Linked DNA regions of Mus musculus: regions 1, 2 and 4 are each reported to be linked to region 3. Evidence: microRNA targets listed by miRTarBase, many of them from high-throughput screens and not tested one by one. Region 3 holds a microRNA gene; each other region holds the end of a gene's coding sequence.
Evidence for each region. Region 3 holds the annotated microRNA mmu-miR-539-3p (CAUACAAGGAUAAUUUCUUUUU, at 2,171-2,192, opposite strand). A microRNA usually pairs through its seed, bases 2 to 8, with sites in the 3' UTR of a target mRNA and lowers its output. Matches are read on the target gene's strand: a 7mer-m8 pairs with bases 2 to 8, a 7mer-A1 pairs with bases 2 to 7 and ends in A, and an 8mer does both.

Region 1: the mRNA of Igsf3 is a reported target of mmu-miR-539-3p. The part of its 3' UTR that is shown has no 7-base or 8-base seed match.
Region 2: the mRNA of Alg6 is a reported target of mmu-miR-539-3p. Seed matches in the 3' UTR shown: 7mer-m8 at 1,132-1,138 and 7mer-A1 at 1,164-1,170.
Region 4: the mRNA of B3gnt2 is a reported target of mmu-miR-539-3p. Seed matches in the 3' UTR shown: 7mer-A1 at 1,711-1,717.

The regions. Positions count from the first base shown.
Region 1 is chr3:101,459,661-101,462,793 of GRCm38, reverse strand. It overlaps Igsf3 (immunoglobulin superfamily, member 3), which reads right to left. Exons shown (of 11, transcript NM_207205.2): 11 at 1-3,007. The coding sequence ends at 2,757. Among named protein-coding and RNA genes, the nearest start is that of Gm40109, 47 kb to the left of the region's middle.
Region 2 is chr4:99,761,809-99,764,941 of GRCm38, forward strand. It overlaps Alg6 (asparagine-linked glycosylation 6 (alpha-1,3,-glucosyltransferase)), which reads left to right. Exons shown (of 15, transcript NM_001081264.1): 15 at 63-1,652. The coding sequence ends at 260. Among named protein-coding and RNA genes, the nearest start is that of Alg6, 48 kb to the left of the region's middle.
Region 3 is chr12:109,727,235-109,730,367 of GRCm38, reverse strand. It overlaps Mir539 (microRNA 539), which reads right to left and starts at 2,239; the gene lies at 2,166-2,239. Mir487b (microRNA 487b) reads right to left here and starts at 3,035; the gene lies at 2,954-3,035. Mir544 (microRNA 544) reads right to left here and starts at 1,043; the gene lies at 966-1,043.
Region 4 is chr11:22,833,397-22,836,512 of GRCm38, forward strand. B3gnt2 (UDP-GlcNAc:betaGal beta-1,3-N-acetylglucosaminyltransferase 2) reads right to left here. Exons shown (of 2, transcript NM_016888.5): 2 at 1,343-3,116. The coding sequence ends at 2,597. Among named protein-coding and RNA genes, the nearest start is that of B3gnt2, 25 kb to the right of the region's middle.

The DNA.
Region 1 (3,133 bases), not on the chromosome of region 3:
TTGTGCAGTGGCTTACAAATAGCTTCTCCTTTAAAAAAAAAAAAAGAAACAAACCAACAGTTCTCTACTTCATGCACGGATAGTCTTCTTACCCCATCTCTGTCTTCAACATGAACGCAGAGACACCATTGTTGGAAACAAATATGAAGACTTGCTACAGAAACACACCGATGAGAGAGGGTGTGGTCATATAGTGTCCTGGGACAGGCCTAGCACAGTGGAGATGCTCATAAATGTGACACTGGAGAGGACAGATGTCAGGAGTCTCTCTTGAGTACTCTGATCTCGGAGGACAAAAGCCTCAACAGACAATATGCAGTGAAGCCTTCTAGCCACTTGAGGGCGCCATCACCATTTATCCGACAACACATGTCCATAGACCCAGCCACAGAGAGGTCCTGAGGGTTTTGGATTTTTCTTTTTCTTTTCTGTTTTTTTGTTTTTGTTTTGTTTTGTTTTGTTTTCATAGAAAGCTCAGAGTTTAAACTTTGATTGCATACCCCAGCCCTGCAGAAAATACACGCAAAAAACGGTTGTTAAAATACTGACATAGATTTCTTTGCTCCTTGCAAACGTCCTGCGGTTGCTTTGCATATTTACTTGAGTCTTCTGCTGCTACAGAGCTGATCTGAAATCTTAATCCAGGCCAGCCCTCTGGCGTCAATCTTCCCTCATTGACTCAGCCTAAAACTCAGGAGTCAGCAACTACCCACCAAGAGCCCACACCCATGAATCGAAGGAACAGAACAAAAGACATTCTTTCTTCGTGACTGAGCCAATTTGGTCCCTCTGATGTGTTCGTGCAGCAAAAATGAGAATCAGCAGGGCAGGCACAGGAGGATTAAGGTGGCGCTGCCTGGACACTTCTCAGAGAACAAGAGGGCCAGGAAGGATTGTCAGGCTGCATCTTGCCTCCTGCCCTCTCTGCTCAGCACACGGCCCACACCTAGCAGACTCCTCGGAAGGATCCATAACAGCCTGGCCCAATGACCTGGAAGTCCTGCAGCCTTTGTGTTGTCTGTTTATTCTCAGGACAAGGCTTTGCAGAAATCACTCCTTAAATTTACTTCCACAATCCTGGGTACCTTTTGCCAAGGGGCTCTCTCTTGGGACTCAGGATGCAAATTCCCCAGAGAAGATGTGGCCACTGAAGGATGGGGAAGAGAGGGGTCACGAGACCCTCAGAGTGACAAAAGGGAGGATTTACAATTGATGAGGCTCCAGGGCAGCTAAGCATCTGGCTTAACAGAGTGGAGGCAGTGGAGTTCAGATTTGGGGGCTGAAAATTAAAAGCCACCAGTACAACCAAACAACATAAACATACACGCGCGCACGCACACACACACACACACACACTCTAACAAAGGAAAGTGACAGCTCCTGTTCTGAGTTGTCTGCTGAAAGCAGGGGGACAACAAGAATGGCAAAGGGCTGTGCCTGGTCCTATCCGAGGACAATATCTCCATGGCACTGAGATTCGGGAAGAGCTGCGATGGATAAGGATGCCCTCACCGTCTCCGAGGAAAGGCTCACTGGAAGGAAGACAGAGGGAAGCACTCCTCCAACCTCTCAACCAGGCTCTAAGACGCCCTCCCACGCTCCACTCTGCTAAGCTCAGTGTAGCAGCTCAGCACACTCCACTGGGCCTGTGCACAGGGGCCACTTTGGCCATAATGCTCCCTCCACTCAGGGCAGCCCCTTCAGGCTTCACTAGACATGTCCCCTTGAAAATTTGGCAAAGCACCTACAGAAGAAAGCTACCTGCCCAGGGGTAAGTCAAGAGACCAAGCTTGCCAAAGCCAAGCCAACAACCACCCGTCCCCCCCTCATCCCCAGTCATTGCCTTTGATCAGGGCAACCCTCAGAAACTGGGTGCCGCCTGGAGCCCTTGACCCTTCCTTCAGGTTGGCTCGTTTATTATTATTTTTTTTTTTTTCTTTTTTGGCAATGATGGGACTGAGCCTTTTTGCCTCCCTGACGGACTGGTTGGCTGGCCACCATCTGCTCCTAATAGGGTCCTGCAGGGTTTCTTCTGCACATGTGCAGTCAGTCCTTTGAAGCGAAATTCAATGCTTTCATCTTGACTATAAAGTGGTTCCAACAACTCCGGCTGAAGGAAGAGATAAGATACAAATTGGGCCCACGCTACACATATTTTTCAAGTCTTGCTAAGAAAGTAAAAAAAAAAAAAAAAAAAAAAAGAAAAAAAAAGAAAAAATGTTTGGGTATATTTTGATCCACGGGTGGCATTTTCAAATGTGCAAAAACAAAAATGTCTTGGAAGAGAATCCTTGTTACTATGAAGGCGTCTTCCTCTTGCTTATCAGTTGTGAGAGAAACTCTTCCACAACATTATGGGATCCAAAAGGAGAGGACCCAAGGGGCTTAAAAGAGTACATTACACAGCACAGGAAACCCCATAGCACCGATCTGAGAACATGAGTTAGATTGGCGAGTAGATGCGGCACCTGGAGCTACGCACTAAGTTACCAAAACCAAAAACTAGGAACCTAGGATGTTGGCATCATGACACCTGGGTGTGATCAGCTAACCAGGGCTGCCGCCCAGAGGCAACCATCACCTCGACCGGAAGCTTCCAACAAGTTCCAGGTCTGACTGGCTCCTGCAGAGAAACTGCAGAGTTCAGGTGCTGTCGCCTGTCCAATCACAGAGCACGAAGCAATGAGGAAAAGCCCAGAGGGCTCCCCTGACCCGACCCTGCCATGGGCAACGTCTGCTGGGAGTGGGCAGCCTCTTTAGTCAATGGCTCCCGGGTGGATGCTGAGCACCGGAGGCTCCAGGCAAGTCGGGGAGTAGTTCAGGTGAGGCTCCTTGATCCACAACAGGGGCACCCCGTTCTTCCCCTCTGAGTTCTTGCTGGAGTTCCGGCTTTTGAAGCGCACCAGCAGAATGGTGATGATGAGGATGCCAAAGATGGGGAAAGGGTAGAAGAAGACAAAGTAGAAGAGGGCATCGTTGGAGCAGATGAGCGACTGCAGGGTTGAACCTGGAAGGCAGCAAGGAACCATGAGGATGAAGCCTGGACTCTGTGCGCCTGCTCCCTGCTCCTGAGAGCTCTCCTGACCTGATGAAACTACCCCAGACACCCTCCTAGTCCTCCCCTGCCACCTGT
Region 2 (3,133 bases), not on the chromosome of region 3:
GCTTTGGTGTCATGTGACATTTGGGACAGCAAAGGTGAGTGATTCTCTCTTTTCCCTTACAGTTTCTTTCTTCAGTCATCACCATGGTCCTCCTGACGATTTTGAGTGTAACACTGGACCCTCCTCAGAAATTACCAGACTTGTTTCCTGTACTTATATGTTTTGTTTCCTGTGTAAATTTTGTATTCTTCTTGGTATACTTTAATATTGTAATCATGTGGGATTCCAAAAATGGAAGAAATCGGAAGAAAATTGAGTAGCTACATTCCCAAGCAGATGCAATCTTTTTGTTATGTATAAGTGAACATAATCATCTTTAGAATCATGGAATTACAGGAAAAGAAATGGTGAAAGGGCATTGTTATTTACACAAAGTGTATACAAGGACCAAAGCATTTGTCTTCTTAGGTTTTTTGTTTGTTTGTTTGTTTGTTTGTTTGTTTTGCTAAGCATACTATAATTTTGGTAATATTCACAGATATTTAATGGTAAAACAAGAAAAAAAATTGTCCCAGCTGGTCGTAGTAGCTCATCTTTGCAATGTCAGTACCAGGAGGTAGAGGCAGGCTACCTAGAGATCAAGGCCATCCTTGGTTATAAATAGCAAGTTTGAGGCTAGCCTAGGCTATGTGAGACCCTGTCTCAACAAAAGGGTTCCCAATGCCAATATTTAATAATGGAATGCATCCTATAAATTGTAACTTTTAAAAACTATGTATTTTATATATAGTTTTAAAATGTAAGACCAGTCAGAATGCACACAGAGCCAGGCCTGCTGGTACACATTGGGCATCTCAGCACTTGGTAGGGACAGGCAGGAGGAGCATGAATTTGAGGCTAGCCTGAGCTACATAAAATCCTGTTTTAAAAAACAAAACAAAGTCAGACAAAGTGTGCTTCAATAAATTTAAACTGAGTTTATTGGAAGAATTAAGCACCTGACTTGTTTAGCGACAAGTGATGAGCATCTCATTCAGAAGTTGTATCTCTGGGCTGAAGAGATGGTTTAGCAGTTAAGAGCCGTGGCTGCTCTTCAGAGGACCTGAATTCAATTCCAGCAACCACATGGTGGCTCACAACCATCTGTAATGGGATCTGATACCCTTTTCTGGTGTGCATGAAGATATCATACTTGTATGCATAAAATATATGTATATATGTATTTGTATACATAAATCTTTAGAAGTATCTCAGGGAATTAACATTTTTCTTAATTACTGAGAAGGTACATTATGCTATTTGAAATTTGAATATCCATTATTGCATATGCAAAATTGGATACTTATAGATTAAGTAGTATTCTTGTTTCCAAGAATGTAGAATCTCTTGATGCTATTTTTTTTAAAAAGAACTTTTATTGAATATAAATCTAAGAAGTTTGAAGTCTTTTTAGTTACTCATGGTATTTAGTTCTAAATTTCTAGAGTCATTCTAAATTGACTACCATATCAACGACTCCATCTCCCTTTCTGTTACCTTGTTAACACCGAAATAACTGCATATTCAAATCATGGCTAACACCGGCTCTGTCCCATTGGTAGGGTTATCCCTTCACCCATATCAATTCCTAAAAATCATGTAGTGTGTTTTACTTTCACAGGAAAGCTGTTTCTTTAGTCTCTGATGAAAATTAAAGCCACTTTACGACTAGCCTTGTTTGCGTGTATTTCTTTCATAATATAGTCACCAGAGCATTAAGTCATTAAATGGCATATTCTAAAGTGGTATAAAGAATTGGAGTCTAGACTTGGCTATCCATAGGCTGATGCTAGAAAATATGTATTTCTCAGTCTGACAAAGCAAATGTACATGAGGACTTCAGGGTCAAGGTCAGCAGAGAGGCAACCTTGGTGGCTGCAGAATCAGCAGGCAGTATCACTGCGTCACTGCCCCACTATCCATGGCCACTATCTGTAATTGTTGGGCCCAGCAGGCAGCATCCTGGCTACTTTTACTTGAACCTGTTTTACTTTTAATAATGTATCAAAGTTTAACACAGAATTGCTGATTTCCATTAACTTCCCAGAAATTGAGTAGTACAACTTCAAAATAAAAGTATTAAGAAGTATAATGGAATGCCAGATTCAGTGTTTGTCCTGCACGTAAATTCTGTCAATAAAAATACATTTTTTCGGGGCCTAGCAAACACAGAAGTGGATGCTCACAGTCAGCTAATGGATGGATCATAGGGCTCCCAATGGAGGAGCTAGAGAAAGTAGCCAAGGAGCTAAAGGGATCTGCAACCCTATAGGTGGAACAACATTATGAACTAACCAGTACCCCGGAGCTCTTGACTCTAGCTGCATATATATCAAAAGATGGCCTAGTCGGCCATCACTGGAAAGAGAGGCCCATTGGACTTGCAAACTTTATATGCCCCAGTACAGGGGAACACCAGGGCCAAAAAGGGGGAGTGGGTGGGCAGGGGAGTGGGGGTGGGTGGATATGGGGGACTTTTGGTATAGCATTGGAAATGTAAATGAGTTAAATACCTAATAAAAAATGGAAAAAAAATACATTTTTTTTCAGATGATTTAGTCTAACCATACCAATTTCCCATCAGCTTTAAAGGAGAGTTACAATGAGCAGTGTAAGTCAGTAACTTATCTAGTAGAAACCAGCCAGAATGCACACAGAGCCAGGCCTGTTGGTACACACTGGGCATCTTAGCACTTGGTAGCTACAAGCAGGAGGAGAATGAGTTTGAGACTAGCCTGAGCTACATAAAATCCTGTTTTAAAAAACAAAACAAAGTCAGACAAAGTGTGCTTTGTGCTTGTGTAGGTAGCTTCCATAGCACCGGATCCTTCCTTGAAAATTTCAGTCTCTCAGCTAACATCAGGATATGGGATCTTTTAATAGATACTGATAATAAATTAAGTAAAGATCAGAAGCCTCATTTTTTTTCCTTGTAAAAAATGAAGAGTTCTGTTCTTTTCAGCTATACTTTAGTGTGAAAGAGACAGTGTTGAGAAGTGCCCCTTTCTCCTCTCCTCATGGACTTGGGTTTGCTTCTTAAAGCAATGAAGAGAATGCCCTGTAGGCTCATACCATATAAAGCATTCCGGAATCATTCTCCTTCAGGCTTTAGGGAGAAGAGAAAATATGTCCAAATCATAAGCCACACTGAGGG
Region 3 (3,133 bases):
CTCGAAGGAGCTGCAGGGCTCATCCAAGGCTCACACAAGGCAGGCAGTCTCATATCGCTTGTGCAGGGGGCCCTTCAAAAAAGCAGAGTTTGATAGTCAAAAGGAAGCTAACTGTGTCTCGTTCACAATAAGCAAACAGAACATGAATGACCTCAAATATTCTCAGAGATCTCTGACAGGAAAACCGGGGCCTCTTGTCTACTGTCCTCTCTCCTTCCAGAAGATTCTTCCAATGACAAATTGAATTCCTAGACTCTGAGAGGTGAATTCCCATAGTCTGTAAGAAAGCACATGAGCTGACAGCAACCACTCACTGCTACACATTGGTCCTAGGGCTAAAATCTGGTCTGACGGAAAAACTCATTCCCACAAGAGCTTCCTAAGGCAGGTCAATTTAGAAACAAAATGGAAGTCTATCTGGTCCTCCCTGAGAGGTAAGCTGGATGGCAAGAAGCCAGCAGCTGGCCGAATATCATGGAAGGGCAATGGCACCATGGGCATTACCTCTCTCGATAACGTCGAGGGTTGCTGGTAGATACGACAGATAGGACTCCTCCTTCCCCAGAAGCTGTGGTTCCAGAACTGTGCTCCTTACAATTGACTGGAAATGGAGAGTTACAGAGTCAGATGGTCTCAGTCACCAATAACCTGGTGCTGACAAGTCCTGCTGTTGGCTGACATAGGCAGCCCCTCCTTGAAGTAGCTCTTATATCTGGGAAGCCCATAGAGGCATGCTTTGATTTGAAAGAATAATCAATAATCAATAATGGTGTTTGTACAGCAGGTGGCCTTTCACAACTGACCACAGTTTGATCATCAAAAGGTAGCATATTGGCTCAATGCTCACTCATGATGGATAATGCGGGGTGGATGGAGGAGATGGAGCACACACACTACAAGGAACATGCAACATCACCTCCAGCCCCCAGTGGCTACATGTGTTGTCCACGGACCGGCAGCATTAGCATCACTTGAGAGCTTGCTAAAAATGCAGAATCTTGGCCCCTCAATCAGACTCTGCTTTTTAACAAGATCCCTAGGTGACGAATATCTTAGCAGCGTTGAGCAGTTTGAGAGGCCCTACACTAACCAACAATTTGTACAAGCATGCATGCAGGCACACACACACACACACACACACACACACACACACACACACACACACCAGATTATGGAATGAGCTGAAATGGTATGCTATTGACCAGGTATGTCTAAGAAAAAGTCAGCCCAAAGGAAGCCATAGGAACAGATAGAGAGTGACTTAAGGCAGCGGCGGCGGCAGGAAGTATCCTTATTAACACCTGTATTAACCACAGGAAGTCTATGCTCAGAATGGATGCTGAGGAGAGTGGGTGCTGGACCTAGAAGACCCTGGCCAAGTTCTGTCTACCTAAAGAGATGCTTGACCCAGTACCTTCTCAAGGAGTTCCTCTGAACTAAGACTTAACAGCAACAACAGACAGGTGAGTTATTCTCAGTGTTCTCCAGACCAAGCACAAAGAAGCAAGCCACCAAAGCTGTTGCCACCTCAAAGCTGTCACTGTGAGAGTACATGGGGGGGGGGGTGCCTTCTGAGGTTACTCTGCCTCAATAAATTCTCCCTCTCCTGCAGCAGGTACCAATGTCCATTAGCTGAAGTCACCACTGTGCTCTAGGACCTTCGGAAGCAAATCCAGATATGGGGCAAACAATGGTCGTCCCAATTAATCTCCATAAATATGGCGAGCACACTATTGATAGCCACCCTGCAAATGTCAGAGAACCACCGCACCGAGAAAAACCGCAGGACCTCCTCTCACGATCCAGACCAGACAGCTCGCCGGCCTCTGTCATTCAAGCACATGCTTGTGGAACCAGTCACACTCTTGAGCAAGGGGCCGGGGCCTGACCCCAGTGACTATCTGTGAGATTGGCTGCCCATCCAAAAAAAAAAAGAACGATTTGCCAAGTCATGAAAACTGTGCTATCTCACCATGACCAAGCCACGTAGGAACCCCTGGACTCTTCAAGCAAGATCCTGACTTGGGATCAGAGTGTAGCTCTTACACATCAGTTCTGTGCTCTCTTGCCTTGTGCCCAGGTAAGGCTAACCCATGCATCATGCACCAGGCACCTCTTTAAACAACCGTCTCGTCATCCCGGAAGTCCACCAGGGCAGTATTTGATACTCAAAAAGAAATTATCCTTGTATGATTCATCCAAAAGAGCCAACACACCAAGGATAATTTCTCCTCAAGTATGAAACAGTAGCACAGCAGGAATACCAGCATCCATAGGCCTCTTGGGAGTGATCACCACTCCTCACACGTGGCTGCACCCAATACATACATGCACCATGCATGCAGTACTACTGATGGCCATTCTAAGCACCAGGGAGGTGAGAGGCTATAGAAATGACTCCCCAGGACTCAGCATGACAACCTCACGTTAGCCTCTTCTAAGGGTAATGGTGGCTGGGGTCAAGAAGCCAGGCAGTGTCCATCTTAAGTGGAGCAAGCATTGTGGGTGGCCCTGCTGACCCCCGGCATGGGGTCTTCTGTTCTAGAAGCTGCTACAGAAATGATGTCACTGCCGAGTCACAAGCACCACCTTGTAAGTCCAGCACAAACTCTAAGCTCCAACACCCACTCACATGACTGACAGAGAATGTCTGTCTCAACATGGGCTCCCAAATCCAAGGAGAGGTTTGTATATCACCATCATAGCTGCCAGCAGTCAGCTCCCAGCAGACAAAAGTTTGGGCTGGCACATGGTCAATAATGAGCCTAGTCCCTACAAGAGCCTGATCTCTCCCAGCCCCCGAGAGCCATATGCATTGGACCCCAAGAGGACTCGCGAGTGACACACGAGACAAGGAGCATAACACGGCGACACCCTTGTCCAAGGATGTGTGATGGGAAGTGGCAGTGGCAGGATCCAGGCGCAGGAAGCCAGGCTGCAGAGTCTGCGCACTTGATACTGAAAAAGTGGATGACCCTGTACGATTCGGCATGAGTGAAGCGAAGAGGACAGGGATAACCACTCTCCAAGTACCAAAGCTCGGCCTGGAAAGCAAAGCCACCGCCTCAGGTAGACGTGCTACGTCTTCCAGGTAGGGTCCTGGGGACGAATTAGACGCTGAGCGTTAGCAGAC
Region 4 (3,116 bases), not on the chromosome of region 3:
TTCATAAACAACAGACTCCCGTAGCACAAGCAACCAGAAAACAAAACATCACTGGGGATTTTTTGTGGACGGGAAGTGACCAGGGCAGGTTCTCGTGTACCCTGGACTAGCATGCAACTTCCTATGTAGCCAAGGATATCCTTGATGTTCTAATAGCCCTGCCTCCACCTCTGGAGAGTGCCGGGACACAGGCCCGTGTCACCACACCCCATCCAAGTTTATGTTGTCCTGGGGTTTGGTTCCAGGTCTCTGTGCATGACGGGCAAGCTTTCTACTAAATGATCTACACCCCAGGTCCTGGAATGCATTTTCAAAAGGCAAAAAAAGGGAAAAGAAAAATGGCCACAGTTAGGCATGGCGCCACAACCTGGTAACCTCAGCATCTGAGAAACTGAAGCAGCGAGTTGGGGGTGGGGTAACACTTTAGAGTCACCTTAAGCCACAAAGTAATATCAAATTAAAAAAACCTGTCATGGTTCAACCAACATTTTTCTTCTGTGGTAGATGTGTAGTGAGAGTGGCAGTGTTACCCTGAAGCCTGTTTGTTTTAGAGCTAGTGTACAAACTTTGTAAGAAAGTATACCATCTCTAAAGCAGTCTTAGAAAAAGACAGCTCCCTTGGGCTTCAGACACAAACCATATGCACTCAGCACCTCCTCCGGGGTTCTGAGCAGATCCCCAGTCCCAGCAGGCAGCTGCCTTCACACACTCCTAGCCACCTTAGATCATGTTCTCAAACAATGCAATCCAAGGACAGAATAGGAGTTTCTACTTTGTATACCTTTCATAAAGACAGGCAGCAGACATGGGTGCTGCACACCAGGGTTTCTTGGTCTGGGTCAAGTCAGTAAAATGGTTTGGTCGATCTCAGGGAGGCCTTGGAGGAAGGGCATGAAGGTGTATATTAGTTGACAGGTCGAGAAAGAAGTGCAACCCGTGGTTGGAAATGCCTGGGTCCTTCTTGCAGACGCTTGGGATGTGGGGGTCCAGGTGCTTTATAGCTGGAATGCATGTCTTCAATTCCATCATCACAATGGAGGTAGAGGGAGGAGCAGCTCTAGGAATTCCAGGCCAGATTGGTCAACATACTGAGCCCCAGGACAGCCAGGACCCCATAGAGACCCCCTCAAATCAAAAACAGAAACAAAAAAAACCAGATGGCACAGCTCTCAGGAAGACACACATAGGTGGGAAGTGCTTTTAAGACTACAGATGCAGTGATGGCTAACCCACGGACACAGACTGTTAATATAATGATGACTGTAATGGTTTCTGGGAAAGATAGCCCAGGGAGAATGTCATGAAACACAGGGAAACAAGAACAGAAAGAGTATCACTTATTATACGTGATGATTAAAAAATACAATCACTTTATTTCCACTTTTTCCCAGTCCCCTGTAGCACAGGTGAGAACCCTCTAAAGCACAAAAATATTTCAAGAAAGCATGTTACAAGATACTAGTATATGCAATATTTTGGCAGAACTTTATTTTCTCTAGCAGTTCATACCCCCCCATCCAAATTTTAAAATTCAAAAATAAGAGTTAACTTTATCTAACATGTTACAGCTTAACATTTAAAACATCATGCTGGATCTGGGAGGAGATGGGGAGGTGAATACAATCAAAACACATTGTATGAAATTCTCAAAGAATTAAAAATGAGAAAAAATAAAATATCATGCTCTAGTTAAATATTTCACAAACACTGTATACAAATAAAATATTACACAAAATATTTTTTAAGAAAATGTTTTGGTGTTTGATCTGAACAATAAATAAAAGCACAGGCACTTCTACACTGAGACAGGGAAGTGTCACTACCCAGAATTTTATCTAAGGAATACGTGATAATATGGCAAGAATAGAATCTTGGGGTTTTAACTGACTAATCACGTCCAAAGCTCAGAAGTGGCGAATGCTTCCCAGTCTCTGAACACTCACAGACCCATGGCTGTCGGGCTACTCAGTCTCCAGTTGGCCATTAGGGAATCACACTCATGATCTTCAAATACTAAAAATAGGTTAACTACCATGATGCCACCCAGGAAACCAAACACAAGTAAAAAGAAAATCCCCTCTGTCCTCATGGCCATAAGCCCTGACAAGATGAACTACACGCACTGCGTGGCTTTCCTTGCATAAAGGAAGTAACGGTTTCTAGTAACAAGGACAATACTGCTGGGTGACGGGAGATTGACATCAGTCTACTTTCTAGACAACTTTCAAAATCTTATGAAAATACATAGAATTCCATTTCACAAAGCCACCAGGTTGTGTCCTACATATATATATATGTATGTATGTACACACACACATATATACACACATACATACATAATTGTGGAGGAGAAAGAAAACAAATTAGAAACTGAGGACCGGCAGCCAGAGGAAGGGTCATAACCACTCACCCTGCCATGCTGAGCTGTCTTCAGCCTTCCCTCTTCACAAGGCAAGGGAAGGACTGAGGGCTTGGGAGCCCAGGGGCTACCTGCTCATGAAGGCTAATAGCCTCACACAGAACTCACCTATTGTGAGAGCACACCATGGGAACTAGTCAGGCTAGGCCTTTCTGTGAAATGCAGCTCATGTCTATTTCAGCATTTTAAATTAGGACTTTGCAACTGAGACCAGATATCAATCATCTCTTGAGGTTTTCTGCTATGTACTAACATTAGGTCTATATAGGAACAAATATTTTTCTTATTTTTCTCTTCAATATCAAATGTCCTGAAGCCTTTGTGCTTCTCTGGAACAAGGCCCAGTTTCTGAAGGCACATTCCCGTATAAACATCATCAATAGGGTAGAGATGGACCCGGCTAGTCGCACTGTACAGCCTCAAGGCAAGGGGGCCGGAGTACAGGAATCCACCACCCCCGGCATACGGTGGGTAGACGCCGGTGTAGAAGACTTCTGGGATGTAGTACTTCAGTTTCTTATCCCGGTGAGGCCCAGCATTGTGGATCACGTCACCTATGAACAAGTCTTTGGCTTTGCTCTTGGATAAGCTATTCAAGTAATTAAGGATGTGATGGGTGTTCACAAACACGTCATCATCGCCCTTGAAGACAAACTCTGCGTCTGGACAGGAAGTGCTCACCCACCTAAGAAACAGC